Macaca mulatta: one gene and its partners. The protein of the gene in region 2 interacts with the protein of the main gene of each other region in a pairwise test. Links are inferred from orthologs where the notes say so. Each region holds a gene or a part of one and is shown on either strand. Other genes may lie near its edges.

Region 1 (4,401 bases), on a different chromosome or scaffold from region 2:
TTTGAGGTATAACTAACTTACAGTCAAGTGCACAGATCTTAAAAAGTGTACAACTCGATGAACTGAACGTGTGTATACCGGTGTAACCACATCTCAGATCAAGATGTAGAAAGTCTTGGCACCCCAGAAGCCTCACTCATTTCCCTCTCTAGGCACTCTTCTTTCCCACAGGATAACTTAATACATAGAGGTTTTTTTAAAATTAGCTACTAACATTTTAAAATTGGGAGACTTCACATAAAAATCCGGAGTTCCAGTATCTCATAAAAACATCTAAGATCAACACAACTGCTTTCCCCTTGACCACAATTTATTGTAGCCAAGAAGCAGCTGTCCACAGTATTGACATGTGTTCCCCAGGTTGCATACAGTCTTCACCCTTCCTCCTCTTCCCTCTGACCTTGAAATCAATTGCCAGTTGCCACTTACAGTTTCGTTTGAATTGCTTTTCTTATGATGGAGAAATATTTATCTCTTCCATTGTCTCTATAAAAAAGTGAAAACATAAATGGAAACAGAAAGGGTGTCTTATACTTAGTCCATACCATTTGTAGTTTTGGCTGTTTGTTTGTTAGCCATCTAATTCTACACAACAGTTACGTTTAAATGCTGTATAAATATATTGGTTTTTTTTAGCCATTCTATGGAAACATAAGCACGTGTGATTTTTGTTTTTTTGATATTGTGAATAACAAATTTTAGATTAATCTTTGTACACATCATTTTATTAGGATAATATTTTAGAAGTAGATTTTCTGGATCAAAATATATTTTCATTTTTAAGACTTGATACATATTGTCAGCTTTCTTGGTAGTAGTATAAATCGCTATAATCTGGAGAGAGTATATGGAAGTGTTCATTTCTCTACATCTTTGCCAACACTGGGAATTGTAATTTACAAGTTTTGCCAATATAGTTGGTAAAAACAACAAAAAAATGGAAATGCTGGCCAAGAAGTTTTTCATCTTCTCATCTACATAAGTAATTGTATTTTATTTTAAAGGATATAATATGGAAATATTACTTAGTACAATACTATACCTTAGATGTATGTTGAGTCAAATCATGTACCATGTATCTTGTGTATAAAGTAATATGAATACCTCAGTAGAACTTGGGAAGCCTTTAACCTTGATCCTTACATATTATTTATATTTCTGTGTATATACACACACACCATGTTCTGTCTCTGTGCATGGGAATAAATATTGCAAAATCCTTCGTTTTGAAGCACATACAACTAATTCTTAAGCATTGGGTTTATATTGGCTTTCATATTTTAAATTAGATGCTATTATTCTATAATCTGCTTTTTAAGGAGATGCCTACATAGAAGAGTGACAGCAGCTGGACTGAATGTTTAACTGCTGAACTAGTTCCTCAGGTTCCTGGCTCTAGAGATTGCTATGGGAGATTGGATGACTGTTACAGATCGAGGTCTGTCTTCAGGTAACTAAGTCTAAATAATTGTAAACTAAAGCAGAAACTGTAAAGGTGAATTTTTCAATGAAAATATAAAATAATTACTGCAGATGTTGAAGATGTGACTAAAGAGAGATAAATGGTTATAAAATACTTATTTTCATGCCTGCTGAGAACACCACTTTATTTGTATCTTTTTGGAAAAAAAAATATATAGTTTTCATAAAAAAGAGGCTTTGCCCTAATTTGAAAATACCTTAAAATATATATGTATATAGTATAATTATATCTATGTTTATGTGTATATATGTAATTCAAGTCTTTAGTAATGGAGATTATGCTAGCTTTACATACGTTTTTCTAAATTATTTATATAAGTGCCTTTTATTCTTTCAGAAAGCAAAACTATCTCTCAGTATACCTCAGAAATAAAGATGTCTCCATCAAGTTTATACTCACAGCAAGTGCTATGTTCTTCAATACCTTTATCAAAAAATGTGCACAGTTTTTTCAGTGCCTTCTGCACAGAGGATAATATTGAACAGAGTATTTCATATCTTGATCAGGTAACATGTTTTTGTAAAAAACAGTAGCATAAATCATGTTATATAATAGAATGTATCAAAGTTACGAGAAAAACATTTGTCAAACTCAAGTTTTTTGTTTATATAGTGCCCCTGAGACTTAGATTTTCAGAGAACCTTGGTGATTATCTCATCTAGAGATAGCAAGCAAGTCTAACTTTTTTATCTGGAGCAGGCTGGCCTCCTCATTGTCCCAGGGGCTCCTCCACTGAGAGTCTAGCCATCACTTTATGGATGCAGAAACCCAAGTGCCTTGCTCCATGTCACAGATTTATAGCAGAGGCTAAAAGAGCCCCGTCCTTTTATCTCTTTGTCCTTTGGGATATTGACCATTTTCTTAACTATTTCAAGATAGTTTTCTATTTTTCTCAGAAAAGATTTCTATCTTTTGTTTTTTTTAAACTAAGTTGTCCAGTAACCAACCGTTTAAAATAATTCACATATATTTTTAATTTTTAATTGACAAAACTTATATATTTGTCATGTACAACATGATGTTTCAGAATACACATTGTGAAATGGCGCAGTGCGCATACCTCAGATACTTATATCATTTTTTTTGTGGTAGAATTTACTCTCTCAGCAATTTCGGGAATATAGTACGTAGTTATTAGCTGAGGTCACCGTGTCATGCAATAGATCTATTGAACTTACTCTTCCTATCTAACTGAAAGTTAGATATCCTCTGACCTGTATCTCCTCAACTGTAACCAACTTTAAGAAAACATTTTCTCCTACCAGGAATTGACTACTTTTGGTTTTCCTTCATTATATGAAGAATCCAAAGGTAAAGAGACAAAGAGAGAGTTAAATATAGTGGCTGTTTTAAATTGTATGAATGAGCTGCTTGTGCTTCAGCGGAAGAACCTTCTAGCTCAGGAAAATGTGGAGACACAGAATTTGAAGCTGGGAAGTGATATGGACCATCTACAGAGCTGCTACTCAAAACTTAAGGTAGAAATTGCGTATCTGTATTTTGATGCCATAATTATATAATTGAATACTATAAATTTTTACTGACTTTATTAAATATTTCAGGGTTTTCTTAAGCTTTAGGGTTTTCTTTTTAAACAGGTAAATAAAGGTCAACTTATAATTTGCACACATCTGCTTCCTAATACCTACAGTATATTGATGGCATTAATTTTTTGAGCTGTTTAATGACTTGCTGAATCTGTAAAAAGTTAGGAAATATTCTGTGCTCTGGGAAAATAAAATAACGATTCTGTCATCCAATCTTGGTTAAGAAAGTATATGCTTCATTTAAAAGTCTTATTGTAAGAGGCTGCACAAGTTAATTCCAAGAAAAATATTATTGAGGCATCTATGATGCCACATGAGCTAAGGCTCAATAGTTAAAGCAGACTAGATAACTTCTCTTAGAAGCCTTGGGTCTCTGGAAAAGACTATAGAAAAATCCTTAGTAAACTTGCTTTTCTCTTAAAAAAGAAAGGAAGTATTTTTCACAGGACCATTGAACCTACTAACTTTAAAATGTAGAATATTTGATACTGGTTTCTGTTTTGATTTCTTTCTTTTTCTTCCTTTTATGTTTTCATTTGTATTTTTAAAATGTTTATCCAGGGAGAAGGGAACAACAAGGTGTTCAAAATCATGGTGTGGTCGGGACTTATAGTTGTATATTATTAAGGATGTAATATAAATCAAGTCAAATTTTTTCATAAATATACTATTCTATATTGGGTTTTGTTATTTGTGAAAATCAAAGCCTTTGCATTTGTATACTGTCAGATGATCAGCTTCCTTTTAGTTTTTCATCTGTTGGTCCATGCCCCTTTACTTTTCCTTGTTTTTCTTTGTGTACATCCTCCCCCACTGCACGCTGTCTAAGAAAACAATCAAAAAACCCACTCAGGATCTTGAATCTTTGAGCTCTGTGAGGGAATAATAGGACCTCTCTATAGAATATTTAAAAATCCCGTAGCAGGAAATGTGCCGTGATGATGTGGCATAGAGTTGGCCTACATGGGAACACTAGAAACACTTGGGGATTGGTTTAGAGACATCTTCGCTCTTTACGAGCACCTGTGCCTACCAGCCTGTCATTGATAATGCTGTCTTATGTTGTCTTCTTGGTTCATACACAATGATAAAAGTGTGTTTTCTCGCAGTAATGTTTTTAGGCTTTCGTACATCCTATATTCCTAAGGGGTAGAGATGATCCAGCTATGTCTCTTGGGGAAACTGTGGTAGATTGCAAAGGGTAGTTGGTGACCCCCAGGCTTGTGAAAAGGTTGTGAGTTATGGATGCTACTTTAATCCAGATCAGAGAGACCTATGGAAGGTCTTATTAAGGATTGGGCTGATCCAGAGGTTGTAACCCTTGGCCATGTGTCTTATAAGTAGCTAGTAAATCATTATGGTATGTTGGTG
Region 2 (4,334 bases):
AATTTTTAAATGCTTATTTTACATAAATATGTAAACTGTGATGCAGAATATATTATAATTATTAACCATGTCAAATCATTAATTAGGAAAAACATGAAAGAAGCATAAAATATGCAGATTATTAAAGTCTGTACGTAATTGTTATAATGAATCATTATATATTCAAGGCATCAAAGTTCAGTTTTTACAAATTAAAAAATGTTCAGAATGTTAATGAATTAATTTTAATATTTCTTTGCTTAGCAAAATATGTTTTAATCATAATATTGGTTCCAATGTGTTCTTTAAGAGTATGAAATATTTCTGATTTTCATGCATGAACCAGATCCCCTTTTTTGTTGTAACTGGATAATTACAGATATATATGTAATACTGCCCTCTAGAGAGTGGCTCAGGAGAAACTCTAAGTACCTGCAAACCTTAATTGCTTTTTTTTTTTTTTTTTTTGCCCATGACATACATGTGCCCTGCAGTTACTTTTGCTATTAACTGCCCTTGGTAGCCAGGCGCAGTGGCTCATGCCTGTAATCCCAGCACTTTGGGAGGCCGAGGCGGGCGGATCACGAGGTCAGGAGATTGAGACCATCCTGGCTAACAGGGTGAAACCCCGTCTCACCTAAAAATACAAAAAATTAGCCGGGCATGGTTGTGGGCGCCTGTAGTCCCAGCTGCTGGGGAGGCTGAGGCAGGAGAATGGCGTGAACCCAGGAGGCCGAGCTTGCAGTGAGCCGAGATCGCAACACTGCACTCCATCCTGGGCGGCAGAGCGAGACTCCGCCTCAAAAAAAAAAAAAAAAAAACAAAACTTCCCCTTGGTCAAGTAACAATCTGTTCAAATGGAAGATAAGTATTGTTGCAGTCTTATTAGAGCTGCCAAATTACAGCTGTGTAATTTTAACCCAGATAAAATACTAAAGAGAACCCATTAGGTTATGAGAAGGATAGCAAGATAATTTATCTTCCAAACCTGGACACTTCTCAAAGTGAAAAATCACACTAGCAATAATCACACTGGGACAACAGGCATAAATCAGGGTTGCCCCAGGCAAACTAGAGCATATGGTAACCCTAGCTATGAGGCAAACCTGGTTCTCCAGAATCTCCCACATTGCCTGATAATGTGCTCAATATAAACTTGTCAAAGGCAAAATAATGGTAACAAGAACTCTGTCTCTATATTATATGTGCATTAATTGATTTTTTTTTTTTTTTTGAGATGGAGTTTTGCTCTTGTTGCCCCGGCTGGAGTGCAATGGCGTGATCTTGGCTCACTGCAACCTCTGCCTCCTGGGTTCAAGCGATTCTCCTGCCTCAACCTCTCAAGTAGCTGGGATTACAGACATGCACCACCATGCCCAGCTAATTTTGTATTTTTTAGCAGAGACGGGGTTTCTCCAGGTTGGTCAGGTTGGTCTTGAACTCCCGACCTCAGGTGATCCCCCACCTCGGCCTCCCAAAATGCTGGGATTACAGGCATGAGCCAAAAGGTCGAGCCATTGATTTCTTGAGAAGAATTAGCCAGCTCTTTTGCCTTTATGTTGACACAATATGTCTTAGAATTTAATCTCTTTTGGAGTAATGTTCAACACAAAGCAAGTTGGCAATGGACTTGTCTTTCCTGGCCATGTCAACTTATAGTGGTATTAACTCATACCTCAACAGCTGAGTTATATCTGCATAAAACTTTTGGAATAGTCTCCATGACTTTTGATGAATTATCATTTCCTAGATGTCTGAAAACATTCCAACATTAGCTTCAGGGCCCTCTGTTGAATCAGCATAATAAACCGAATGACAAAAATCAAGATTCAAAGAAACCAAGGCTGATCAAACCCCTTGTTCTACTCTTTTCCCTCTTCTCACTCTGCACTTGACTAGTCTTAAGAAAAAAACCAGTCGGTCATAGTGGCTCACGCCTGTAATCCCAGCACTTTGGGAAGCCAAGGTGGGCAAATCACCTGAGGTCGGGAGTTCGAGACCAGCTAGACCAACATGGTGAAACCGTCTCTACTAAAAAACACAAAATTAGCCAGGCGTGGTGGCACATGCCTGTAATCCCAGCTACTTGGGAGGCTGAGGCAGGAGAATCACTTGAACCCAGGAGGCGGAGGTTGCAGTGAGCGGAGATCGCACCATTGCATTCCAGCCTGGGCAACAAGAGCGAAACTCTTGTCTCAAAAAAATAAATAAATAAATAAAATAAAAGTAAAAAACCAAAGCTACCTGATAGGCTAATGAGATAACATTTAATAGGGGTAAGTGTAAAGTCTTACATCTGGTTTTTTAAAAATATCTGGTGCATAGGCCGGGTGCAGTGACTCATGCCTATAATCTCAGCACTTTGGGAGGCCAAGGCAGCCGGATAACTTGAGGTCAGGAGTTTGAGACCAGCCTGGCCAACATGGTGAAACCCCTATCTCTACTAAAAATACAAAAATTAGCCAGGCGTGGTGGCAGGTACCTGTAATCCCAGCTACTCGGGAGGCTGAGACAGAAGAATCCCTTGAACCCGGGCAGCGGAGGTTGCAGTGAGCCAAGATCATGTCACTGCACTCCATCCTGGGCAACAGAGTGAGGCTCCATCTCAAAAAAAGAAAGAAAGAAAAAAAAAAGGGCCGGGTGCAATGGCTCATGCCTATAATCCCGGGACTTTGTGAGGCCAAGGAGGGTGGGTCACCTGAGGTCAGAAGTTCAAGACCAGCCTGACCAACATGGAGAAACCCCATCTCTACTTTAAAAAAAAAAAAAAAGAAACAAAGAAAATTAGCCAGGCGTGGTGGCAGACTCCTGTAATCGCAGCTACTCGGGAGGCTGAGGCAGGAGAATTGCTTGAACCCAGGAGGTGGAGGTTGCAGTGAGCTGAGATCGTGCCACTGCACCCCAGCCTGGGTGACAGAGCGAGCGTCTCAAAAAAAAAAAAAAAAAAAAAAATCTGTTGCATAACTAAAAGAAAATGGAGACTTGGTTTAAGAAAAAATCACATAAAGGCAATCCTCCAGATTAAACCTTGGAATTTTAATTAATTACAAATTCATCATGAGCCAACATTACAAGTTGACTAAAAAACTTACAGCAACTTCAGGCTGCATTAGTGTCCAGATGTGCAACATCCAGATCCAATTCAGCTACCAAGGGATATTATTTCCAGTTCCAAATACATTTTGGAAAGGACATTAACAAAGTTTAATGTCCTTAGGGAGCAATTGGGATGATAAAAATGATATCATATGAGAAATAGTTAGAATAGCAAAGGATATTTATCGCAAAGGGTGGAAAAATTGTGAGGGGAAGGGTAGGGAGGATAGACTGATATCTAAAAGGTTATCATGTAGAAAAGAGATCCACATTTTGTATAGCTTGAGGGCAGAATTAAGGTCATTAAATACAACTATAAACAGCCAATTTTAACCCAAGGATGAGCTTTATAACAATTGATATAGCAACAAATGGATTGGGTTGCCTTGTAGATTATGAGTTCCTCCTATCACTTAAAGGAGCTTCAGCATGGACTAGGAGACTGGATTAAACATTTCCAAGTCTATAATTATCCTGAAGAATTAATGCTCAGTATAATTCAAAACACATGAGAATTGCCTTCCCTGGGGTGTTAAATTTTATTTCAAGTCAATCAAAATAGATGTAAGTGGTCAGGCACAGTGGCTCATGCCTGTAATCCCAACACTTTGGGAGGCTAAGGTGGGTGGATCACTTGAGGTCAGGAGTTCAAGACCAGCCTGGCCAACATGGTGAAACCCCATCTCTACCAAAAAATGCAAAAATTAGCCAGGCATGGTGGCACACGCCTGTAATCCCAGCTACTCGGGAGGCCAAGGGACGAGAATCACCTGAACCTGGGAGGCAGAGGTTGCAATGAGCCGAGATTGTGCCACTGCACTCCAGCCTAGGTGACAGAGTAAGACTTCATCTCAAAAAAAGAAAAAACAAAGTATAAAATCAAAGATATTCTCATTTCACAATTTTGTGTAGTTCAAGTAGTCACCCTATTTCAGAAAATATTAGATAAAACCATCATTCAACATGAGCAGGAGAATCTCAATTTGAAGCTTTTGAGTGGAGATCTTGTCTTCCCAGAGGTTGTTTCCATGCTAATAGTTCAGATTTCACTCTTTTGAAAAGTAAATATTTATTTAGAAGCACTCAAGTGAACAATATATACACATTAGCAGAGTGTGAGCTTTTTGAGAAGGAGGAAAAAACAGAATTACCAGAGAGTTTAAGAGTGAAAGGTGGAAGGATGACTGATGAACGACAGAAACCTTGGCTTTGGAGGAAGGCACCAAACAAAAAGGGTAAGATAGGGTAAAAAAATATAG
Region 3 (4,398 bases), on a different chromosome or scaffold from region 2:
GAGATTTACCTCCATTCAGAAAAAAACAAAAACAAAAACAAACCACAGCTGATTTCTGACTAAGTTTCATATGACCAATTAGTGTGAACCTATCATAGATCATCTACAGGGTATTCTTAAAAAGTCCAATTTCTGGCTCAAAAAGGCTGAGATTTGGACCATGGAAGTTAATGCCTCAATCAAAGTGCTAAAGTCTGTTATCTACAGTCAGTTGTACCTAGCCACTTCCAAGAACTTCCCCATCACCATTCTCTCCAACACCCCCATCAAACCTGGCTATTGTTCTCAAGCCTTAAGACTGGGTCTCTGTAGTAAAAACAGCAATTGCAACGATAATAAAAACTAAAACTACAGGTCTTTGATAGAAAAGGAATAGTACTTACATTAACAAAATCTCCACCCTGAATCATGAAATCCTTTATGACCCTGAAACAGAGAGCAAAGAATACTGAGAGAAGATTTTATGGAGACTTTGTTATTATTGTATTAGATTAACATTGATTTCAAAATACACTATAACTTTGGCTATTATAAAATCACCATTCTTAGCTGGGTGCGGTGACTCACGCCTGTAATCCCAGCAGTTTGGGAGGCCGAGGCAGGCAGATCACATGAGGCCAGGAGTTTGAGACCAGCCTGGCCAACATGGCAAAACCCCATCTCTACTAAAAATACAAAAATTAGCCAGTCGTGGTGGCACATGCCTGTATTCCCGGCTACTTGGGAGGCTGAGGCAAAAGAATTGCTTGAACCCAGAAGGCGGAGGTTGCAGTGAGCCAAGATCATGCCACTGCACTCTAGCCTGGGTGACAGAGCGGGACTCTGTCTCAAAAAAAAACCAAAAACCAAAAACCAAAACAACAAAAAAAGAAGATTATTCTTTTCCTGGAATGATTAAGCTGAAAGGATAATTAACCATAAAAAAGGATTTTAGTTATAAATTAGGGCATGTTAGAGTTGATCAAGTGCATGATCTGGTACCTGAACAGTAACAAGAAGAAGGGGCTGAAAGCCTGCAGGAAGAATGACCACATTACTTGCCAAAGCAAAAGGCAGATCAAGGATTTGATGTAAATTTGGGGCAAAGAACTACAGAGAATTTATGTGAAAGGTACTGCTACACATGTAAGGGCTTAACAATTGTTAGCTATTACCCCTAGGGAGGGTCCTTAACCTTTGTTATCCTCAGTTTCCTCCTCTGTAGAATGCAGATCACACATACCACTTCACAGGAGTCTTACTGGGGATTAGAGACCCACAGTTCTAAAGCTGTGATATAATTATGTGCTAACATTGTTACTAACCACAGTGAGGCCATGAGAAAGATTCTATATTGAAATGAGACTAAGTGTTGCCATACTCCACTCCCCAGGAAATATGATTATCCTTGGACAATCATATATGATCATTTTAGGAATTAGTTATAAATAGCAACCAGCAGGATATATTATATGCACTTTAGGATTACAAGTGTACTTCTTTAAAAATCTGCATTTGCACAAACAAGTGCATGAAAAAGACAGGATATTGTAAAGATGAGTAGTTTCTGTTTTAAAGACATAAGAAGTGGGAGAGTATAAGTAGAGTTAGAATATTTAATAAATCTTCAGTTATTGAGTCCACAAAAACATTTCTTCTTAAGAAATGTAAGAATTACCTCTGGTTTTATTTTCCTCTAAAGAGCCTAATCCCCCAGGAAATATTTCTGAAAGACTCTAGGATGGCTTGCCAAAAGCCTTACCTGTGGAAGGTGCTTCCTTTGTATCCTATTGGAACCCCATCTTTTCTATAACAAAAAGAAAGAGACTTGGAGTGATAGCAGGTAGCACAAGGCCTTTCCAGTTTACCATGCACTGGAGCCAAAAGGACTCTCCTAAAGATGGTTGACAGACATAAAGAAGGCAAATAAACTAGGGACAGACCCTTGGGGCATTACCTTCTATCACTGTCACCAGCAATCATTCAAGGCCAGCAGCTGGTTCACCGATACCCTCACCGCAGCCCCAGAACACCCTTCTGGAGCAGGCAAAGAAGTCAAACACATCTGAAACTGACCTGAATTCTCCGGTGCAGAACTGCCTGAAAGGGACAAAAAGTGAACAATTCAATCACTATGACATCACAGTCGTGACCGCCTCTAAAGACGGGAAAGAATAAACAATGGAGCCAGCAAGTCCACCAATCGGCCAGCCAGACGTCCAAACACGGAGACGTACAGACTAACAACGTAAATTAACACGGGAACAATCCAAACGGCAACCAGACAGAGCAATGCACGGAGGAATCAGGTCTCAAGAGCAGTGAGCGGACGGACAGAGGTAGACAGGCTATTCAGGCGGCTGACTAGAGCCCGACTTCTGCCTCAGCTAATCCAGCGGAACTGGAGCACGTCCTTACCTAAAGTTCTCGGCCGTCTTAGGCACAACGTCTGCAAAGAGCTCGATCTTCATGCGGCCAACTTCCTGCAATCAGCGGGAGACTGTCAGAAGGCCCAGTCCAAGACCATGAGGGCTTCACGGAGCTGGGGGCAGGATGGGCTGACCCACCACCCTGCCGCTCGGTATCACCCACCTCCGCCTCTCTGGTCTAACCGCCCAGTTCCTCCAGAAGCGGGGCGCTAGGATTGGGGAGACTTCTCCTCATTTCTCCCCGCCCTGCAGGTCGGTAGGTTCGGGTGCAATTTCGCTTTCTGGCTGGCTTCCCGAGTCCGCTCTCTCTGGGTGAGTTCTGCCTGCCTAGCTAGCCCCGAGCAGTTTCCCTTCGGCGCAGGTGTGGGTAGCGTCCTGGATCTCACCTGACCGCCAATGCTGACATCAAAGAACACCACGGGGTTAACAGGACTTGAATTTGCCACCGCCATGGCTCCGACCCGGAAGCAGAAGTCGGGAGCGTGGGATTCCGGCGAACCTAAAGCCCTGTCCGCGGGTTTCGTCCGGGGAGCAGGCGCGGTGGACGCCGAGAGAGACCGGGCCCCGCCCCCGGAAGCTGTCGCCCCGTGCCGTGTGTGCTGAGGCTGCTGGGGTCTAGCTGGGAGACTCTCCCTGAGACGGGGGACGCGGGAGTGAGGAGGAGGAAAGCCTTGACATCTTTTTGGTTAAGGTCGATGGTCACCCCACTCACGTGGCTGTACTAAGGGCAGTACAAGTTGATCTTGCTCTAGCTAGGGCTTTTGGACTAGGCAGTCGCCAGGGTCCTCCTTATCGGCTCTTGCAACCAAGCCCTCTACACCGCCACACGTGCTGTGTCTGTCTTCTGCCCGCTAGTCTGTGAACACCGTGAAGGCAGGATCTCTGGTTTGTTCATCCTCAGCGTTTAGAACAGCTTGGCACGTAAAGGCTTGCTAAGTAAATATTTGTCCCTTCCTCTAAGTCAGGACAATAGATTATGTTTCCGTTCTGCCACAAGCTCCCAGTTTGGTCATTTCCAATTCGTTTCCCACAGAGTAACTAGAGTTTTTTATTTTTTATTTTTAAAATACCTCTTGTGATTCCTATTTATTTTTAAAATAACTCCTGGCTTCCTATATTTAGAATAAAATCCAATTCTGTACATAGGAAGCCCTCCAGTGCATTAATCTGGCTATTACCTACCTGACCTCATCTTGTACCACTTGCCCTTAGTTACTGTGCTCTGACCTGTCTGCTCCTCCAGGTCACTGAGATCCCTCCTTTCTTTAAGGCCTTGTAATAGCTGTTTCTTCTGTCTGAAATATTCCTTCCAGATCTTAATGTGGGTTGGCGGGGTGATGGTGGGGTTTGGTTGGGCTATGTGTGTGGGAAGTAATGCTCCTTGTAGTTCAGGGCTCACCCCAGATGTTACCTCCTCAGAGGCAACATTAGACCTAATCTAAAGTAGCCCTTGGTCACTCAGATCACTGGTTTGTTTTCTTCATGCCACCCCCCATTTCACATTTGTATGGTATGTGTCTGCACCTCATTTCCTGCCACACACACATACATCTTCCTCCCTAATAGCATATAAACTCCATGAAAGTAGAGACTCTCTCAGTCCTGTTCGCAGCTGTAGCTGCAATGTCTCCTACTGAATAGCACATAGTAGGTAAATATAATAGATTCAATGAATTTAGTGAAAGAAGGGGAACTTGGGCAAGACTCATTAGCTATAACAGCATGCATTTAATATAATAGTTATTATTTCCTAGGTCCTTTGATCATCTTTTCTAGCTCTGTCGTCGGAGGAAGCAAGAATTACATATAAAAATCCAGTGTGTCTCAATTTAAAGGGTCATTTTTATTCCTGGTTACTGATCCTCTCCTCTTGGTCTCCTCCAAATGAAAAAGAAGAAAGGGGAAGAGGGAGAAAAGGAACAGCAGCAGTCATGCTTCAGTATAATTTTATACCAACTGTTTTAGAATAAATATTTAAAATTGATAATAC
Region 4 (3,839 bases), on a different chromosome or scaffold from region 2:
CGGCAGATGCATAATTCATCCCCACTCACAGGGCGTGCAGTGTCCCTGGCCCCTGTGCCCCTCCTGAGTCATGATGCAATGGTAATTAGTTCAATCTCTTGCCCAACCAAACGTGTGTGCAAGACTTAGTCAGCAGTCTGCAGAACCTCTTGGTGGAAGGGGCTTTGGCTCGGCACTGTCACCATTATGGAAGCTGGTGGGTGCAGGCCCTTGGTTCTGGGAGCGCGTCCTGCTGATGGACTTGCTCAGCTCCGTGCAGGCCTCAGCTCACTGGCCACCTCTCCTGGATGCTGGGCACACAGCCCGGAGCGGGGACAGGCCCCAGGAGGGCTCCTTCCACCCATCACATGGCCTGGTCGGCGCTCGGAGGGCTCGGGAAGAGCCCAGCTTATGAGGGCGGCCTTCTCCCAAGTTCCAATTCCTTCTCATTAATATAATAAGTGCACCAGTCCAAGTCAATAAAATCATACTGTCGGATGAGACGCATCTCTGCCCATTCCTAATGATGCGATCCTAACCGGCTCTGACGGAGCGCCGCAGTCTCTTTTCTGCAGTGGGACAGAGAAAGGCTCGGTGCTGACTGACAGGGGACAGGAGGCGGCGGTTTGACCTCTTCTCTTTGACAACTTCCCTTGAATTTCCTGGTCTTTTCGAAGCCCTTCAACCACATAGGTAAATAGTCCCAAAGTGACCGAAACACTTGGTTTTTCACAAGGGAAGTCAATGTTTGAGGGAACAGGGAAAGACGAGGCTTCCTTCCAGCAACAGAGAGTCGGTGGCCTGGGTCCCCAAAGGGGGGCTCCGACAGTATCCACGGAGGCCCCGGCCCTCGTTTCCTGGAAGCAGCGTGGGTTCTGGAAGGAGAGGCCTGCTGCCATGTGACCTCAGGAAAATCTCTCGAGCACCTGGATTTCAGATTCTTCTTCTGCTAAAGGGAAGGATCGCTGGATACTTGGGGCTGTCAGGGGCATGAGTGCAGTGTCCCATACTCCCCGGGGGGTGGGTCCAGACACATCTTCCCTTTGGAGCTAAAAGAGCTCCTGAGGCCTGGCCAGGTGGGGACGAGAGTTTCAAAACAACCCCCTCCCCGCTACCCCCGCTGGCTCCAGCAGCTGCTGGGAGCCACTAGTCTCTAGGCTCGTACGTTTCTCCTAATTGTGTGCAACGTGCTGAGAGTCTCCCTGGAATCTGTGTGAACAGTGATACTTTCCACAGGACACTGTGACTTTCAGAAAGTGCCTCCGCCCAGACAATGCTGCTCTCTCTCACACCCCACTTGCTGCAGGCACTCAGGGGTCTGGGGATGGGAGACGTCCTGGCTTGAGCCATGGAGTGGGGTGGAAATGAGCTGGAATGGGGCGGTGTTCAAGGAGGCGGCGGGCAGCTCCTGGGGCCCAGCTCCCTCCTGGGGAAGCAGATGCTGGTGGGCGCAGCACACAGTGGGTGGGCCTGGGGGCACCTTCCTCTGCAAACGCACCTCAAAGAGCCAGGAGCTAGCCCCGAGAAAGCAGGGGCCCTCGCCCACTCCATGGGCCTCTGGGAAATGTGCCCACAGATGGGCAAGGTGAAACCCAGACAGCCTTGTAGCAACGCACCGGAGACCCTGCTCCTGTGTCCCACTGCGGGGGAATGCGGGGCTTTCTTGGTTCCTGTGTTCTCGCTAAATGAAAAATCCTCCATTGTCCAGCATTCTAAGTCTCACATTTGGTTACATACCCAGTGTATGGATTCTAAAGCTTGCCATTGCTTCACGTGTCCCCAAAACACACATCTGACCAAGTGTCCTCCCGAGTTCAGCCCTTCAGCAACCCCCGACCCCTAGGGTGGTGTCCAGCCCACAGAGCTCAGAGTTCAAAGCCCTGCCCGCCTTTCTCACCGCTCCTGCAAGGACCCTGGTCTGTGGCAAAGCCAGGCTCAGCTGCACGCCGAGGCTCACCCACTCTTTCCTGGAACACTGCTCCCGCCTTCCCTGTCCCAGCAGCACCTGGTCACCCTTTATGGTCCAGCTACAATGTCACCTCCTCCCTGGCAGGCACCTGGCACCCACAGCCTCAAAACCGCCGGTTTAAAGGCCAAAAACGAGGAACAGCACAAATGTCCAGCCCCCAGGAGGGACGGACCCCGGGTGCTGCCTGTGAACGAGACACTCACAGCAGTGGGAAGATGCTGCCCTGTGCCACAGACACACCCCCAGCTCCAAGCAACCGGCTCAGTCAGCTTCTCCTGCAAGGGCCGGGAGGTGACCAGAGGGTGCGGGAAGCCCCAGCTGGACTCCTCTGGCCATGGCTGACTCCCTTCTGGGTCACTGTTCTGAACAGATGAGAAAACTCTGGGGCTTAAAAAAGGCATCCTCCTGCCCTAACTGACCAAAGACACGTGGGGAGAATGTTTGCATCTCCCTGCATGGTCACCAGGACCGCTGGGGGATGCTGGGGCACAGACAGGTCCCCCTTACCTAGGGAGTGGGCTGCAGTGGTCTCAGAGCTGAAGAAGCGGCCCAGACCAAGGTCACCGAGCTTCACGACGCCTGTGGCTGTGATGAACACGTTGGCAGGCTTGATGTCTGCAGGGTGAGCAGAAGGAGGTTGGTGTGAGGTAGGAGGCTCGGGGTAGGTGGGACAGGACGAGACGAAGGGGGAGCTCCGGGTGAGGTGAGGCCTAGCCCAGGTCCTGCTCCCTCAGGGCAAGGCCCTGTCCTGGCTCTGGCTGTGGGACCTCGGGAAATTGACCATTTCTGAGCCTCAGTTTCTTCACCTGTAAAATGGGTCTCCCTTCACCAACTTCACAGGGCTACTGTGAGGGTTAAGAGAGCAGGGGTTTCTGCGCTCCTGTTTCCGGCTCTAGAGCCGTATCCTCCAGGCTTAGACCAGTGCCTCGCACACAGGAGGCCCTCAGGGAAAATCTGTGTAACGAATGAAGGAGGCGCTCAGTGGGGCACCCTGTGCCGTAGCCCTCAGCGAGGGCGGGACCTCAAATACAGCAGACACCGAGATATACAGGTAGAGTTAAGGAACGGAGGTGTTCAGGAAGCAGCCTACATAAAGGACCCCGCGCCCTGCCAGGCACCCACCAGGCTGCTTTCTCACAACTCGGAGTGATGTCAGCTATGGTAACATCCCTCTCAGGTGCCTCCCGTTCTCAGCCCAGCCCGCTGGGACGGCAAAGCCCCCATGAGAGGCCCCTGTGTGCGGGGCTTCCCCTCACCTCCCTCCCAGGCTGCTGTGGGGAACTGGAAGTGGTGCTGGGGCTCACGTCACTTTCCACCTAGGTCCCTGACCCGGGTGCGTGTGTGTGTGGTTGCTGGACAGCCTCCCTGCCTAGGGAATACAGAGCGGTCCAACTTCCTCAAGGGGCTGCCCCTGAGGACCCTGCAGGAGCCATGGGAAGCGTCTTCCTGGGGCTCAAGGGGCACTTGGGCTCCGGGCGGCTCCTGGCGGGTGGCGCGTACCTCGGTGCATCACCCGGCGTGAATGCATGTGCTCCACGGCGCTGCACAGCTGCACGAAGTACTTCCACACTGTCCTCTCCGGGATGAGCCGCTTCTGCTTCTTAAAGTACTGCAGCGGGGGAGACAGGCAGAGGGATAGGCCCGGGTGAGCGGGCTTGGAGGTGGGTGACCACAGGGCACTGTCTCTGTCTTTTCCCCAGTGGGCAACTGGTGCCTGGCACGGGGGAGGGAGTGGGGATTGGGCAGTTGAGAAACAACAATAAGCCCAGAACCAAGAGTGATGTGTCCACGCCTCTCCTTCTACCTGAATGGCACTCCGCGGCCACCCTGTCCCCACCCCGAAAGCTCCGTGAGGGCTAGACAGGCCTGGTGTGTCCGAATGGCTTTGCTG
Region 5 (3,839 bases), on a different chromosome or scaffold from region 2:
GAATGATTTAAGTTTACAGATGTTGTCAGCACCCAGAAAGGTGCCTGTAACACAGTAGGCCCTCAATAAATACTTGCTGGCTGGCTGCACTATTGAGTGAATTCCAGTTGCCCCAGGAACGCAGAGACAAGGCCCCTACATCAAGTTGCATCTGCCTCTGATTTGGACATTGCATTGGGTTGAAGAGCTTTCAGCCCAACTCAGGAGCCCAGGGTGAATGAGGCGGCTCCCAAAGACTGATGGTGCCCTTCTTCCTTCCTGATCCTCAGTTCAGAAGTTTATCAGTGAAGACCGACTGCCACACTTGCTTCTCTATGGTCCCCCAGGGACAGGCAAGACATCTACCATCCTAGCCTGTGCGAAACAGCTGTATAAAGACAAAGAATTTGGCTCCATGGTCTTGGAGGTAAATACAATTGTTCTTACTCCACAAATAACTTAGGACTCCAGTCTCTGAATTTCAGTTCTGCTGGCTTTATTTTACTTTAAAAGTAAGTTGCCCCATGGACAGTTAGGAAAGAAGTAAATTCGAAATAAGATATTTTAATTCCCTTTTTCCTATAATGGTCATTTTAGTCTGGATTAGTGTTGGTCAGCTAGAGGGCAGTTGTAGGGCTAGGCACCTTTTTCTTTGCTGTTGCCAACTTCTACCCAAACCCTCCTTTATGGTTACTTGGTTGCTGCCTGTCTGCCATGGCCCCTCCAGATCAATTCTCCACGTCTCTCCACCCTATTCCTGCCTGGAAGGCTGAGCTCTACTGACTATAAGCTTACTTACCCTCTGGCTCCTGGTTGGGTTTGGCCAATAGAGGCCTTGGCAGGGGTAGGGGAAGGAAGTGAGTGATGCCGGGACCTTCCCTGAGGGCTGACAGGCTGGCAGCATGGCCCATCTGTAGGGTACATCTCACAGGTGGTACCTTTCCTGCAGCCCTCTCCAGGTGCCTACAGCCACTCCCTTCACTAACCCCTTCAGGCTTAAGGGTCACGGGTATTGCATAGCCCCATGGTTTTCCTATTATCGCACCTTTAAAAAGATCTCCTTGTTTAATTCTCTTCAAATTGCTGCGTTTGAGTATGCCATCTGTATATTGCTGCAACCTTGACTAACATACTTAGATTCAAAAATGTGAATATTGTCTATTGCAAGAAAAGTTTAATTTACCTTTTAGACGCAGGTCTCAGAACTTTGCTGCTACTAATGTCCTTATGTCAGTTTATTAAGAACTTGGTAACCTTGGGATTGTGGTAGCTGAAATTTGTATCATTCTGCTCATACCGGAGGTGCTATTCAGTGTAACCATACCAATTAATTATTTCTCCAGCTTATGTCAGTCATTGTCCTCAAACGGTGGGGGTAATATAGCCATCTTTATTGATTTAGTGAGTTTTGTGTAAAACTGATTTTTTATTTTGTGATGATCTCTTAGCCATCATTAGACATAGAAAGCTAACCTGCTGAGCTGGACTGATGAGGAGATACATTAAAACCAAGAACTCACAGATAGCATAGCAACATGCTTTTTGTTTTGACTTCTGTCTTCCACGTTTAGCTGAACGCTTCAGATGACCGAGGAATAGACATCGTTCGAGGACCAATCCTGAGCTTTGCTAGCACAAGGACAATATTTAAGTAAGAATTATTTGTGTAATTTCGCTCCCTTGATTTTGATTAGTAAGATGACATGGCTTAATTTTTTAATCCTCTCCTTAGCCAGTTTATATGGGTTGAAAAAAAATACTGACTTTGTCCAAAGCAACCATGGAAAAGAGATAAAGGAGAGGATGGTAGTAAGAAGTATTATAATGCAACTGCTAAAATAAAATGTTGTCTACACTTGTATTAGCAAGTTCTTTTTTTTTTTTTCCCCTTTTTTTTTGGAGACAGGATCGCCCTCTATGGTACAGGCTGGAGTGCAATAGCATGATCTCGGCTCACTGCAACCTCCACCTCCTGGGTTCAAGCGATCCTCTAGCCTCAACCTCCTGAGTAGCTGGGACTACAGTCGTGAGCCATCACGCCCAACTAATTTTTGTATTTTTTAGTAGACATGGGGTTTTGCCATGTTGCGTTGGCTGGTCTCGAACTCCTGAGCTCAAGCAATTTGCCTGCTGCAGCCTCCCTGAGTGCTGGGATTACAGACGTGAGCCCAGCCTGTATTACCAAGTTCTTTAGGGAAGCATTCTTCATTTTTAGTTCCTGAGAACTGGTTAGATTACCCTAAGCCTGGATGAGCTAGTTTGAATTTTAAAATAAATTGAGATCAGGAAAGACAACTAGGATGGTGGCTAAAAAAAAAAAAGAAAAGAAAGAAAAAGGGTGAGGGCCAGGAACAGTGGCTCACACCTGTAATCCTAGCACTTTGGGAGGTCTAGGCAGGTGGATCACCTGAGGTCAAGAGTTCAAGACTAGTGTGGCCAACATAGTGAAACCTCGTCTCTACTAAAAATACAGAAATTATCTGAGCATGGTGGTGGGCGCCCGTAATCCCAGCCACGCGGGAGGCTGAGGCAGGAGAATTGCTTGAACCTGGGAGGCAGAGGTTGCAGTGAGCCGAGATTGCGGCACTACACTCCAACCTGGGCAACAGAGCAAAAACTTCGTCTCAAAAAAAGCGAAAGGGTGAGAGACTCTGGTGTGAGTGAGGGAGATGGGGAAAGCAGTAGCATGGTAGGGTGGTATGTGGAGGAAAGTGAAGATGCCAGAGGACACAGCGCATAGAAGTAGAGAAGTCAGTCCTCCATTCCCACCAAGTGTTGAAGGAGTGATGGGGTATTTCCTCTCTGAGTGACCAAAGATGTCTGTCTTGGCCAAAGTTCTAGAAGAAATAGCCTTTCCGAGACAGGACCCGATGGCACACATGGGAAGATGTAGGTTTGAGCCCCGATGTTGAGGTGAGATTGAAGAAATCTTTAGACAGCACCATTTGTTTTTCTAGGAAAGGCTTTAAGCTAGTGATCTTGGATGAAGCAGACGCCATGACTCAGGACGCCCAGAATGCCTTGAGAAGAGGTAAGCAGAGGCACTGTGGAGTGTGTGGGCTGGCGCGCGCACTAGAAGGAGAATTAGGAACTTCGTGTTTGTTGCTGTTATTGTTTTTTTTGGGGGGGGAGGGGATGGTTTTGAGTCAGTCTTGCTCTGTCGCCAAGGCTGGAGTACAGTGGCGCGATCTCGGCTCACTGCAGCCTCTGCCTCCTGGGTTCAAGCGACTCTCCGACCTCAGCCTCTCAAGTAACTGGGATTATAGGCATGCACCACCACAGCCGGCTGATTTTTATATTTTTAGGAGAGATGGGATTTCACCATGTTGGCCAGGCTGGTCTCGAACTCCTGACCTTGGGTGATCCGCCCACCTCGGCCTCCCAAAGTGCTGGGATTACAGGAGAATTAGGAACTTTGGACATGAGATATGGCATGACTTGTTTTCAGTTTTCATCTTCTGGCCCAGAGAAATCTCTATGCCTTTCTGTGTGTCTCCCATCTGATGATACAGGCAAGATACCTCTGCAGTGGGACCTTCCCCTTCAGCAGCCTAAGGACTAAGCCCTGCGGGGACTTTTAAGTCTGGCCAGTCACTGGTGTTCAACCTCCTTTGACACTGGGTTCAATTTCAGGGTTGAGAATTCATATCTTTCCATGGGATGGGGTGTGGAAAATCTTTCATCCCTAAACTATCGGATAGTCCTTTCTGCTAATAGTACCCTTTCCTTTCTGCTAATGGTACCCTTTGAACCACAATAGCTAGGAGAAGAATATCTGAAGTTGAGGTGCTCAGAGAGCTGACATTACTTCACTGCTTGCCAAGTGAATGATTTGGCGGGGGGAGGGAGAGCACCCTGCG
Region 6 (3,839 bases), on a different chromosome or scaffold from region 2:
AACTGGTGAAAAGAGAAATGCCTGTTATTGTCATTTTAAAGATAGAAAAACCTGGCTGAGCCACCTTGGCACGGTGGCTCACACCTGTAATCCCAGCACTTTGGGAGGCTGAGGTGGGTGGGTCACTTGAGGTCAGGAATTCAAGACCAGCCTGGCCAACATGGTGAAACCCTATCTTTACTAAAGATACAAAAAATTAGCCAGGCATGGTGGCGGGCGCCTATAATCCCGGTTACTTGGGAGGCTGAAGCAGGAAAATAGCTTGAACCCAGTAGGCAGAGGTTGTAGTGAGCCGAGATGGCGCCACTGCACTCCAGCCTGGGTGACAGAGCAAGACTCTATCTCAAAAAGAAAAAAGACAGACTGAAAAACTAAAGCAGAGGAGTACTTTGCCTTGCCCACAGTCACGGGACAGTGACACTGCTGGGGCCCAGCATGCCTGGCCCACAGAAGGAGGGACTTGGCAAAAGAGCACTATTATTATTACACAGCGAACGGGGCTGAGACTTCAGGGATGCGCTACGTGTGTACAGAGAAGATGAAATTCCAGGAGCTTCTGAGTTTACCACCATCCACCATTTAAAGATCAAGAGAAAAATCAAGCTTTTCCATTAAACAGAGATCCTTCCTTTATTATAAAAATACATTCTGTTGAGTTACCAGGAGTAAATGCAAATAAAAAAAATTGCAAAGTGAAATAAAAAAGAAAAACACCATCAAAAAACCCTTGGAGTTTTGGAAAAAAAAGAACCTCCCCTTCCCTGAAGACCTTGCCTCTGTAAGTCCTCAGTGGGGTCCCAAGGTGAGTCTGCTGTGGCCTCTGGCCAAGAAGCTAGGCTAGGATCTGACATTACTGAGGATAAGTGGTCAAACAGGTGCCCAGGGGGCCACTCCTGCCTTTCCCTGGACTTGCACACCATCCTAGCCATCCAGGAACACCAACGTTTCTGTGCTAGGGAGTCTCCAAATACACAACCCCTAAGGCTGATTCAAGAACAAGAACCTAACGCCACTATGTGCAACAGCCCCTTGCCATTATTACAATCTCACCCCTTATCTGCTCTCATTTTTCTTCACTGCCTCTAGCACCACCCAAGATTGTACACATCTGCTTACCATCTGTATCTTCCCCAGAAGAATGAGCTCCATGAGATCAGAAGTGTTGTTCTAGCCACCATAATACTCCCAGTGTCCAGGCCAAGGCCCATGCACAGCAAGCACTCGAATACTTGTCAAGTCATGAATCAGGGAGTCACCTGATCTTGGCTTTTTAGCAAAGTGTGATTTAGTGACATGCGCAGAGAGAAAGCAAGAGGCAGCTGGCAGATCCAGACACAGCAGCCTGGCCACCTTCTTAACTCCAGAACCACCTACCGCAGGGAAGAACAATGACCCCCGAACGTGCACGCCCGTTTCCAAACATCTTTCTCAAGCTCTTCTCCTGATAGGGTCTGAGGACAGCTGTGGGCTTTAGGTCAATGTTGATATCAGGGTTGACAGAATCATTCCGGAAGTCGTATTCTGCCAAGAGAGGGTACTCCAGGTGGATGCAACGTTTCTGGAGTTCCTCAATCATTTCCTGGAAAGTAGGCACAAAAAAGGTTTTAAAATCTTAACTCCAAAGTGTGCTCAAAAACATCACATCTTGTAACAGGTCTAATGGTCAAACAAGTGGCATTCTGTCTAAACTTCTACAGTTTTAGATCTTGCTCAGTTAACAACTGGGATAAAGCACAGAAAAGCAACCCAAACTAATAACACTTTCAGGCACTGTTTCTCACATCTCCTCAGCAACTTGTGAAGACCAGCCTACCAGCCTGAAAAAGAGGACACTGGGACTTTAAATCCATCAAGAGGAATGATGCCATGGCCCACAGATAATGAAAAGTAGAAAGCAATGCAGGGACCAACAGGGATTCCTTTCTTTCACACAGACTACAGGCAGAGTTGACACAGGGCTGGACTAACTTCTAACAGCAACTCAGTGAGGGAACCAGGAGGAAGGTCCATTCACACTAACCTGCTTGACTTCAAAAGATACCGTCTGTGTCTCTTCTTCTTCTTCCTCATCCTTGTCCATTTGCTCATAGAAGTCAAACAGGTCCATGGGGATGTCAGATTTACCCTGTGGATCTGTCACTCGGGAAGTGGAGGGCCCACCACTGCCTTCAGCAGTCTTAGAAATCTGTGAGAGAGGTAGGTGCTGAATGTGCACACATCATTTAATTCTGCTGGTATCAAACAAAGGGTGAAGTTGTAAAGGGTAGAAACCAGCAGGGCTGCCAGGTTGTAAATGCTGGGTAAAAGTCACCTGAGAACTGAAACCCTAAATGCCTGCCCCCACCCAAGGGTAGCCCAGGAGTCCACGTACGGCAGATTTGCTTGTGAAAGTCTCTGTGATGAGCTCAGTGGCCTCCCCTTCAGAGTTCCTTAAGCGGCATTCTCGGATCACCGGGTCCTGGAGAAGATGCTGGATTACATCAGGGTGGGAGCTTTCAACGAAGTATCTGCAAGCAGGAGAGGAAGAAGCAGTCTGCTGACCAGCAGGTACCTCCTCATTCCACTGCTCATTCAATCAGACGGTCTGGAAATACAAGCCTCAAGACTCTCCCCGCAACCCTTCGCCCAATCTGTACTATGAGCTGCTGGCCATGATTTAACATATGAGGGTTGTGGGCAAAGCCCCACTTTGAGGTCAAGTAAGCGGGGGCCTGAGCCCAGCTCCATTGCTAGAGGAAATACAGTGGCCAGTGGACGAGTTTCCAGTCTGGGCCACACCTCTTGTTCCTCTTCTCTTATCTGTGCTTCAGAGGAGTGTGGTATTAGCACAGAGCAGACAGCATAAACATCAGGTCCTTCCCATATCCCTTTATTCCTGCTGGTGCGCAGAGAGTGACCATGACTCGGGACAGGCCTGTCACGGAATCTCTTACCTGTTGTGCTTCAAGACCAGCTTGACTTTTCCATAGCTGACAGTACACAACTGCAAATAGAGATAACACCCAATAGGTAAATGTGCAGCTAACTCAGAACACATTCACTACTGGTCACATCTTACCCCAACCAACCAAGTGAAAAATTCATTTTACTTTAGGACAATCCTAACGGGTTCAGATCTGCCTAAACTGAGCTTTTCCCATTGGCCTCTGCTTTCTGAGAACAAAATCTTCCTCTTGCCTGGCTAATTCTGATGCACATCCATTCAGTTATAAAACGCTGCTTAAAATCTCCTTGCATTCTGCCTTTCCTCTCTATTCCCACAGCCCCCACCCTAGCCTGAAGACCATACCAGTATTACAACAACTCTTTGCACAGAGTATGTGCACAGTAATTGCTGCTTAAACAAAATGCAAAGCCTCTTCACCAATGCTCCTATTTCCCCAAATAGAATGTAAGCATCTTGATGGCAGAGAATACAGCTTAAATCCTCCCAGGTTCCCAACCACCTTTAGGAAGGAATACAGTAGAGGCTGTGTGGCAACAATAAAAATTTGCCACTGAGTCCAGGCATAGTGGCTCACGCCTGTAATCCCAGCACTTTGGGAGGCCGAGGCAGGTGGATCACCTGAGGTCAGGAGTTCGAGACCAGCCTGGCCAACATGGTGAAACCCTGTCTCTACCAAAAATATAAAAATTAGCTGGGTGTAGTGGCGGGCGCCTGTAATCCCAGCTACTTGGGAGGCTGAGGCAGGAGAATCGCCTGAGCCCAGGAGGCAGAGGTTGCAGTGAGCCAAGATTGTGCCACTGCTATCCAGCCTGGGCGACAGAGCAAGACTCCGTCTCAAAAAAAAAGAAAAAAAAATTTGCCAGACTTTAAGTGGCTGCCTGTTCCCGCTGTT
Region 7 (4,273 bases), on a different chromosome or scaffold from region 2:
CTGAATGATGCCTAGGACATGGAAAGGACATTTTAATACATTTGTAATCAAAGCATTGTAAGTCTTGCTTTTTTTCTCATAGAAAAATCATCTTTCTAAGACTCTGTACCTCTTTCCAGAGTGCTACATATTTGAGTTAGCTTAATTATAGTGTAGTGACTTTGATCCAAACTTGCTGGTTTAAATTTTGGCTCTTCTAGCCACTCACTGTGTGACATTGGGCAAATTACTTAACCTTTCTGTGCCTTAGTTTTCACATGTTAAAGCAGCGGTCATAGTAACAGAATTTATCTTAGAGTGTTGTTGGGATGGTGAAATGAGTAAATATTTGTAAATGCCCTGTACCTGACACACGGTAGTTGCAATATTAGTGTGCAGTATTGTTTTTATTATTAGCAATAATGTCTTCAAAGTCTCACTTTCCTGCTGGTTTGAATGTGCTGTGAGAACACATACTGTCAGTTTTGTCTGCCACAAATTGGTTGAGTCTCTTGCAGATACCTCTAAATGGGCTTGTAATTCACCATCCCCACTTTTCTTTCTTTTTCCTTTCTTTTTCTTTTTATTTCTTAATTTCTCCCATAAAGTCTGAAAGTGAATCTCCACTTTTCTTTTATCTCTTAAAAATTCTATTTGTGGGCCGGGCACGGTGGCTCCACGCCTGTAATCCCAGCACTTTGGGAAGCCGAGGCAGGTGGATCACAAGGTCAGGAGTTTGAGACCAGCCTGGTCAACACAGTGAAACCCCATCTCTACTAAAAATACAAAAAATTAGCCAGGCGTGGTGGCACATGCCTGAAATCCCAGCTACTCAGGAGGCTGAGGCAGGAGAATCACTTGAACCCGGGAGGCAGAGGTTGCAGAGAGTGGAGATGGCTCCATTGCACTCCAGCCTGGGCGACAGAGCAAGACTCCATCTCAAAAAAAAAAAAAAAAAAAAAAAAAGTAATTTGTTTATTTGCATGTGGACATAAGAAAGGGTTAACACGGCCGACAACTATTTCATGAGCTTTTTGGCTTTATTTGAAAAGTGAAGTGTGTTTGGGGAAGGAGACGGTTAGGAAAATAGATGCTCCCGTGTTTGACTTACCAAGGAAACGGAGATCAGAGGAAAGCCTGGAGCACTTCCTGGCTTCCACGGGTTCCTTTCTAGGAAGCTTTTGCTTTACCTGGGGAAACCCCAAGCTCTACAGTGAGAAAGTTGTAAATTAGCCTTTAGGAGACGCTGTTTGTCAAAGTTATCTTAACCCTGGAAAAGGGGAGGGAAAAAGGCAGATAAGCAATGATGACATCAGCAGGAAATTAATATCAGGCTACCCAGTCCTGAAGATTCAGTTTTCACTTAACGATCAGCAAATCTTGAAGTCTCTTCCCAAGCAAATGGGAGCTTCCTTGGACCTTGGAGCACACAGAGGATTATACTTTCTTTAAAACTTTGTTTTCAGGCAATTTCCCTGAGAATCGTTTACCTCCAGAGGATTGGTGGAGCTTGATCTGAAGGTATGTAATTAACGACCCTTCTTACCCCAGAGTCTCATGCTTGGATCTTTTCCTTTGCTTCATGGCTTCATGTTGCAGAAACTTGCAAAAACTTGTCAGCAATGGCACTATTTTTTCTTAGATTTCTTTGTCATGCCTGGGAAAACAAAAGTTAAAAAATCCGGAAGCCTCCAACATAGCCTTTTACTGGGGCAGAAATATGTTAGCTCACAGAGACAAAGTTGGGTAGACTCACTAAAACTAAAGATCGGAATTGTCAAGAAACCACAAGGCAAATGCAAGATGCGGTAGAATAGAAAGGTGTCTCCAATAAACCACTCATTTGACCTCAGGGCTAGTAGCAGGGAAGACCCCCTGGATTATCACAATTAAAAATGACATTTTTTGTGTTTTTTTTTGTTTCTTTTAACACCAAAAGTAATGTGTGTGTTCACATATGCATAAAATTTGAGAAATTCAGTTGGAAGCCCAGAAGGAAATATGTATTATCTATAGTTATGTCACCTCGATATAACGACTCTTTGTTATGGAGGTTTTGATTTTTGCTATGTTTTCCTTCCTTCCTTCCTTCCTTCCTTCCTTCTTTTATTTATTTATTTATTTATTTATTTATTTATTTATTTATTTAAGATGGAGTCTCGTTCTTTCACCTTCCAGTACTCAGGCTGGAGTGCAGTGGCGCAATCTTGGCTTACTGCAACTTCCGCCTCCCAGGTTCAAGCCATCCTCCCATCTCAGCTTCTGGTGTAGTTGGGACCATAAGCGTGCACCACCATTAGCCTGGCTAATTTTTGTATTTTTTGTAGAGATGGGGTTTTACCATGCCCAGTCTGGTCCCGAACTCCTGGCCTCAAGTGATCCACCCACCTTGGCTTCCCAAAGTGCTGGGATTATATAGTCGTGAACCACGGCACCCCACCTGTTCCTTCCTTTATAAAGTATTTTCTTATTTCTAAAAATAGCCAAGTTCTGCATAATAACTATATACCTCAAATGCTTATAGAATAAATAATATTACAATGAAAATTTTATCACTGCATTGCTCCTCTGATTATGATGAAATTTAGTATAGAGAATAGCGTAGTTTATAAACTGGTCAGATGGAAACATTGACTCGTGTAATTTGTATTTTTTTAGTGAAAACAAGTTTATTAGAGAAGCAAAGAAACAAAAGAATGGCTACTCCATAGACAGAGCAGCCACCTCATGTAATTTGTAACTTCCTACACTGATTTGAGCAACTCTTGTCTAAAGCCACCCTTTCCTGCTAAGGTCTAGGATATTTTATTTATTTTTTTTCTTTTTGAAACAGGGTCTCACTCTGTCACCAGGGTGGAGTGCAGTGGCATGATCATGGCTCCCTGCAACCTCTGCCCTCCAGCCTCAAATGATCCTTCCACTTCGGCCTCCTGAGTAGTTGGAACCACAGACACGTACCACCATGCCCTGATAATTTTTTGTATTTTTAGTAGAGACCAGGTCTCGCCATGTTGCTCAGGCTTGAGGTCTAGGATTACGCCTTCCCTTTCTGTAAGATAAAGGCCTGCCCTCTTACAGGTAGCAGTCTGAAGTAAAGATGTAACACACATACTTCATGGTACCTCGCTATCTTTGGGTTGATAGATCATAAGGATAACGCTGCCTCCCCCAGATTGCTTTGTGTCTAAAACTTAAAGCATAGATCCAAGTGCTATTTCTGCCACTTGGTGGAAATGAATGTAAGGGCTCCAATCAGGTTACCAGGCTTGAGGGAAATTGTGCTGTGTCCCTCCATCTTAACTTTCTCCCTCTGGGAACATTTTGATTTGGGGAAAAATCAAGGTGATTTGAGTTCCAATATAAGCACCCTCCAAGCTTCCTAAAAAGTAACTTGCCAGTGTTGGGGGAAAAGTTTTCTGGGCTGTTGGTTTTTGAAGTAGCCTCGCAGTAATTTTTATTTGTCAGCACTTCCAGGAAAGTCTAATGCCCGGAACGGAGGAGGCTGTGGTGAGGGGAGGGCCTGGGAAGTCAGGGGGCCATATGTCCTCACTCTCTAATGCCCTGCCCCACCTCTCTGTCCCTTTCAGGCTGGCCATGAAATCTCAAGGTTCCAGTTCAGATAAAAACTGTAAAGTGAGCTTTCGTAAGAAGCTTCTGATTATTGATTCAGACTTGGGGGTCGAAGATGTGGAGCGCCTCAAGTTTCTCTGCATAGGATTGGTTCCCAACAAGAAGCTGGAGAAATCCAGCTCGGCCTCAGATGTTTTTGAACATCTCTTGGCAGAGGATCTGCTGAGTGAGGGAGACTCTTTCTTCCTGGCGGAACTCCTATATATCATAGGGCAGAAGAAGCTGCTGCAGTACCTCAACTATACCGAAGAGAAAGTGGAGCAATTGCTACCTATCCAAGGAAAGGTCTCTCTATTTAGGTGAGGATGGGTCTATGGTGGAGATGGGAGGATCTCCCATCTAGTGTTCGGTCTGGCCGTTGGGCTTTGAAAGGAAGCTGCAGTTAAGATCTTTTGGTTATCTACCTCCTTGGATGATAAACCGGGAGATTCTAAACCTCCTTCTCAGCCTCTGATGCTAATGAGCTGAGAGTTGAGAGGTCAGCAAAACTTCAAGACCAAACTCTGGGCCTAGAGGTGGCTTCCCTTTGTTTTACTTCTCACTGGCAGTGAAGCCCACCTCAGTGTGGCAGAGCCTGCGTTTTCCCTGGTTACCAGCCACCACACGTGCAGATCTTCTCCCTCCTGGGATCCACTAGTCTGTCTATGTTTTTCCTGGGGTCTTG

The links.
Region 1: the proteins of XIAP (region 2) and SSX2IP interact in binary tests that used the Homo sapiens proteins (3 or more experiments, as listed by UniProt). The two-hybrid records come from large-scale screens. The link is inferred for Macaca mulatta from reciprocal best matches to the Homo sapiens genes XIAP and SSX2IP.
Region 3: the proteins of XIAP (region 2) and PPIH interact in binary tests that used the Homo sapiens proteins (3 or more experiments, as listed by UniProt). The two-hybrid records come from large-scale screens. The link is inferred for Macaca mulatta from reciprocal best matches to the Homo sapiens genes XIAP and PPIH.
Region 4: the proteins of XIAP (region 2) and NEK6 interact in binary tests that used the Homo sapiens proteins (3 or more experiments, as listed by UniProt). The two-hybrid records come from large-scale screens. The link is inferred for Macaca mulatta from reciprocal best matches to the Homo sapiens genes XIAP and NEK6.
Region 5: the proteins of XIAP (region 2) and RFC5 interact in binary tests that used the Homo sapiens proteins (3 or more experiments, as listed by UniProt). The link is inferred for Macaca mulatta from reciprocal best matches to the Homo sapiens genes XIAP and RFC5.
Region 6: the proteins of XIAP (region 2) and ERCC3 interact in binary tests that used the Homo sapiens proteins (3 or more experiments, as listed by UniProt). The two-hybrid records come from large-scale screens. The link is inferred for Macaca mulatta from reciprocal best matches to the Homo sapiens genes XIAP and ERCC3.
Region 7: the proteins of XIAP (region 2) and CASP10 interact in binary tests that used the Homo sapiens proteins (3 or more experiments, as listed by UniProt). The two-hybrid records come from large-scale screens. The link is inferred for Macaca mulatta from reciprocal best matches to the Homo sapiens genes XIAP and CASP10.

What each region holds. Positions count from the first base shown.
Region 1 is NC_133406.1:155,895,733-155,900,133, forward strand, and holds the start of SSX2IP (afadin- and alpha-actinin-binding protein), read left to right. Parts: upstream 1-1,318; 5' UTR 1,319-1,407; coding exon 1,408-1,450; intron 1,451-1,819; coding exon 1,820-1,989; intron 1,990-2,748; coding exon 2,749-2,961; intron 2,962-4,401. UniProt on the Homo sapiens protein: Belongs to an adhesion system, which plays a role in the organization of homotypic, interneuronal and heterotypic cell-cell adherens junctions (AJs).
Region 2 is NC_133426.1:130,313,834-130,318,167, reverse strand, and holds the start of XIAP (E3 ubiquitin-protein ligase XIAP), read right to left. Parts: upstream 2,939-4,334; 5' UTR 2,727-2,938; coding exon 2,462-2,726; intron 1-2,461.
Region 3 is NC_133406.1:198,100,104-198,104,501, forward strand, and holds the start of PPIH (peptidyl-prolyl cis-trans isomerase H), read right to left. Parts: upstream 2,902-4,398; 5' UTR 2,861-2,901; coding exon 2,795-2,860; intron 2,463-2,794; coding exon 2,398-2,462; intron 2,080-2,397; coding exon 2,056-2,079; exon of another isoform or gene 1,963-2,055; coding exon of another isoform or gene 1,937-1,962; intron 1,787-1,936; coding exon 1,742-1,786; intron 427-1,741; coding exon 384-426; intron 1-383. UniProt on the Homo sapiens protein: PPIase that catalyzes the cis-trans isomerization of proline imidic peptide bonds in oligopeptides and may therefore assist protein folding. Participates in pre-mRNA splicing.
Region 4 is NC_133420.1:23,459,997-23,463,835, forward strand, and holds part of NEK6 (serine/threonine-protein kinase Nek6), read right to left. Parts: intron 3,558-3,839; coding exon 3,449-3,557; intron 2,564-3,448; coding exon 2,456-2,563; intron 1-2,455. UniProt on the Homo sapiens protein: Protein kinase which plays an important role in mitotic cell cycle progression. Required for chromosome segregation at metaphase-anaphase transition, robust mitotic spindle formation and cytokinesis.
Region 5 is NC_133416.1:125,289,323-125,293,161, forward strand, and holds part of RFC5 (replication factor C subunit 5), read left to right. Parts: intron 1-269; coding exon 270-406; intron 407-1,550; coding exon 1,551-1,630; intron 1,631-2,936; coding exon 2,937-3,010; intron 3,011-3,839. UniProt on the Homo sapiens protein: Subunit of the replication factor C (RFC) complex which acts during elongation of primed DNA templates by DNA polymerases delta and epsilon, and is necessary for ATP-dependent loading of proliferating cell nuclear antigen (PCNA) onto primed DNA.
Region 6 is NC_133417.1:9,997,223-10,001,061, reverse strand, and holds part of ERCC3 (general transcription and DNA repair factor IIH helicase/translocase subunit XPB), read right to left. Parts: intron 2,984-3,839; coding exon 2,934-2,983; intron 2,508-2,933; coding exon 2,372-2,507; intron 2,186-2,371; coding exon 2,021-2,185; intron 1,580-2,020; coding exon 1,375-1,579; intron 1-1,374. UniProt on the Homo sapiens protein: ATP-dependent 3'-5' DNA helicase/translocase. Binds dsDNA rather than ssDNA, unzipping it in a translocase rather than classical helicase activity. Component of the general transcription and DNA repair factor IIH (TFIIH) core complex.
Region 7 is NC_133417.1:106,285,019-106,289,291, forward strand, and holds the start of CASP10 (caspase-10), read left to right. Parts: upstream 1-1,333; 5' UTR 1,334-1,500; intron 1,501-3,566; 5' UTR 3,567-3,573; coding exon 3,574-3,908; intron 3,909-4,273. UniProt on the Homo sapiens protein: Involved in the activation cascade of caspases responsible for apoptosis execution. Recruited to both Fas- and TNFR-1 receptors in a FADD dependent manner. May participate in the granzyme B apoptotic pathways.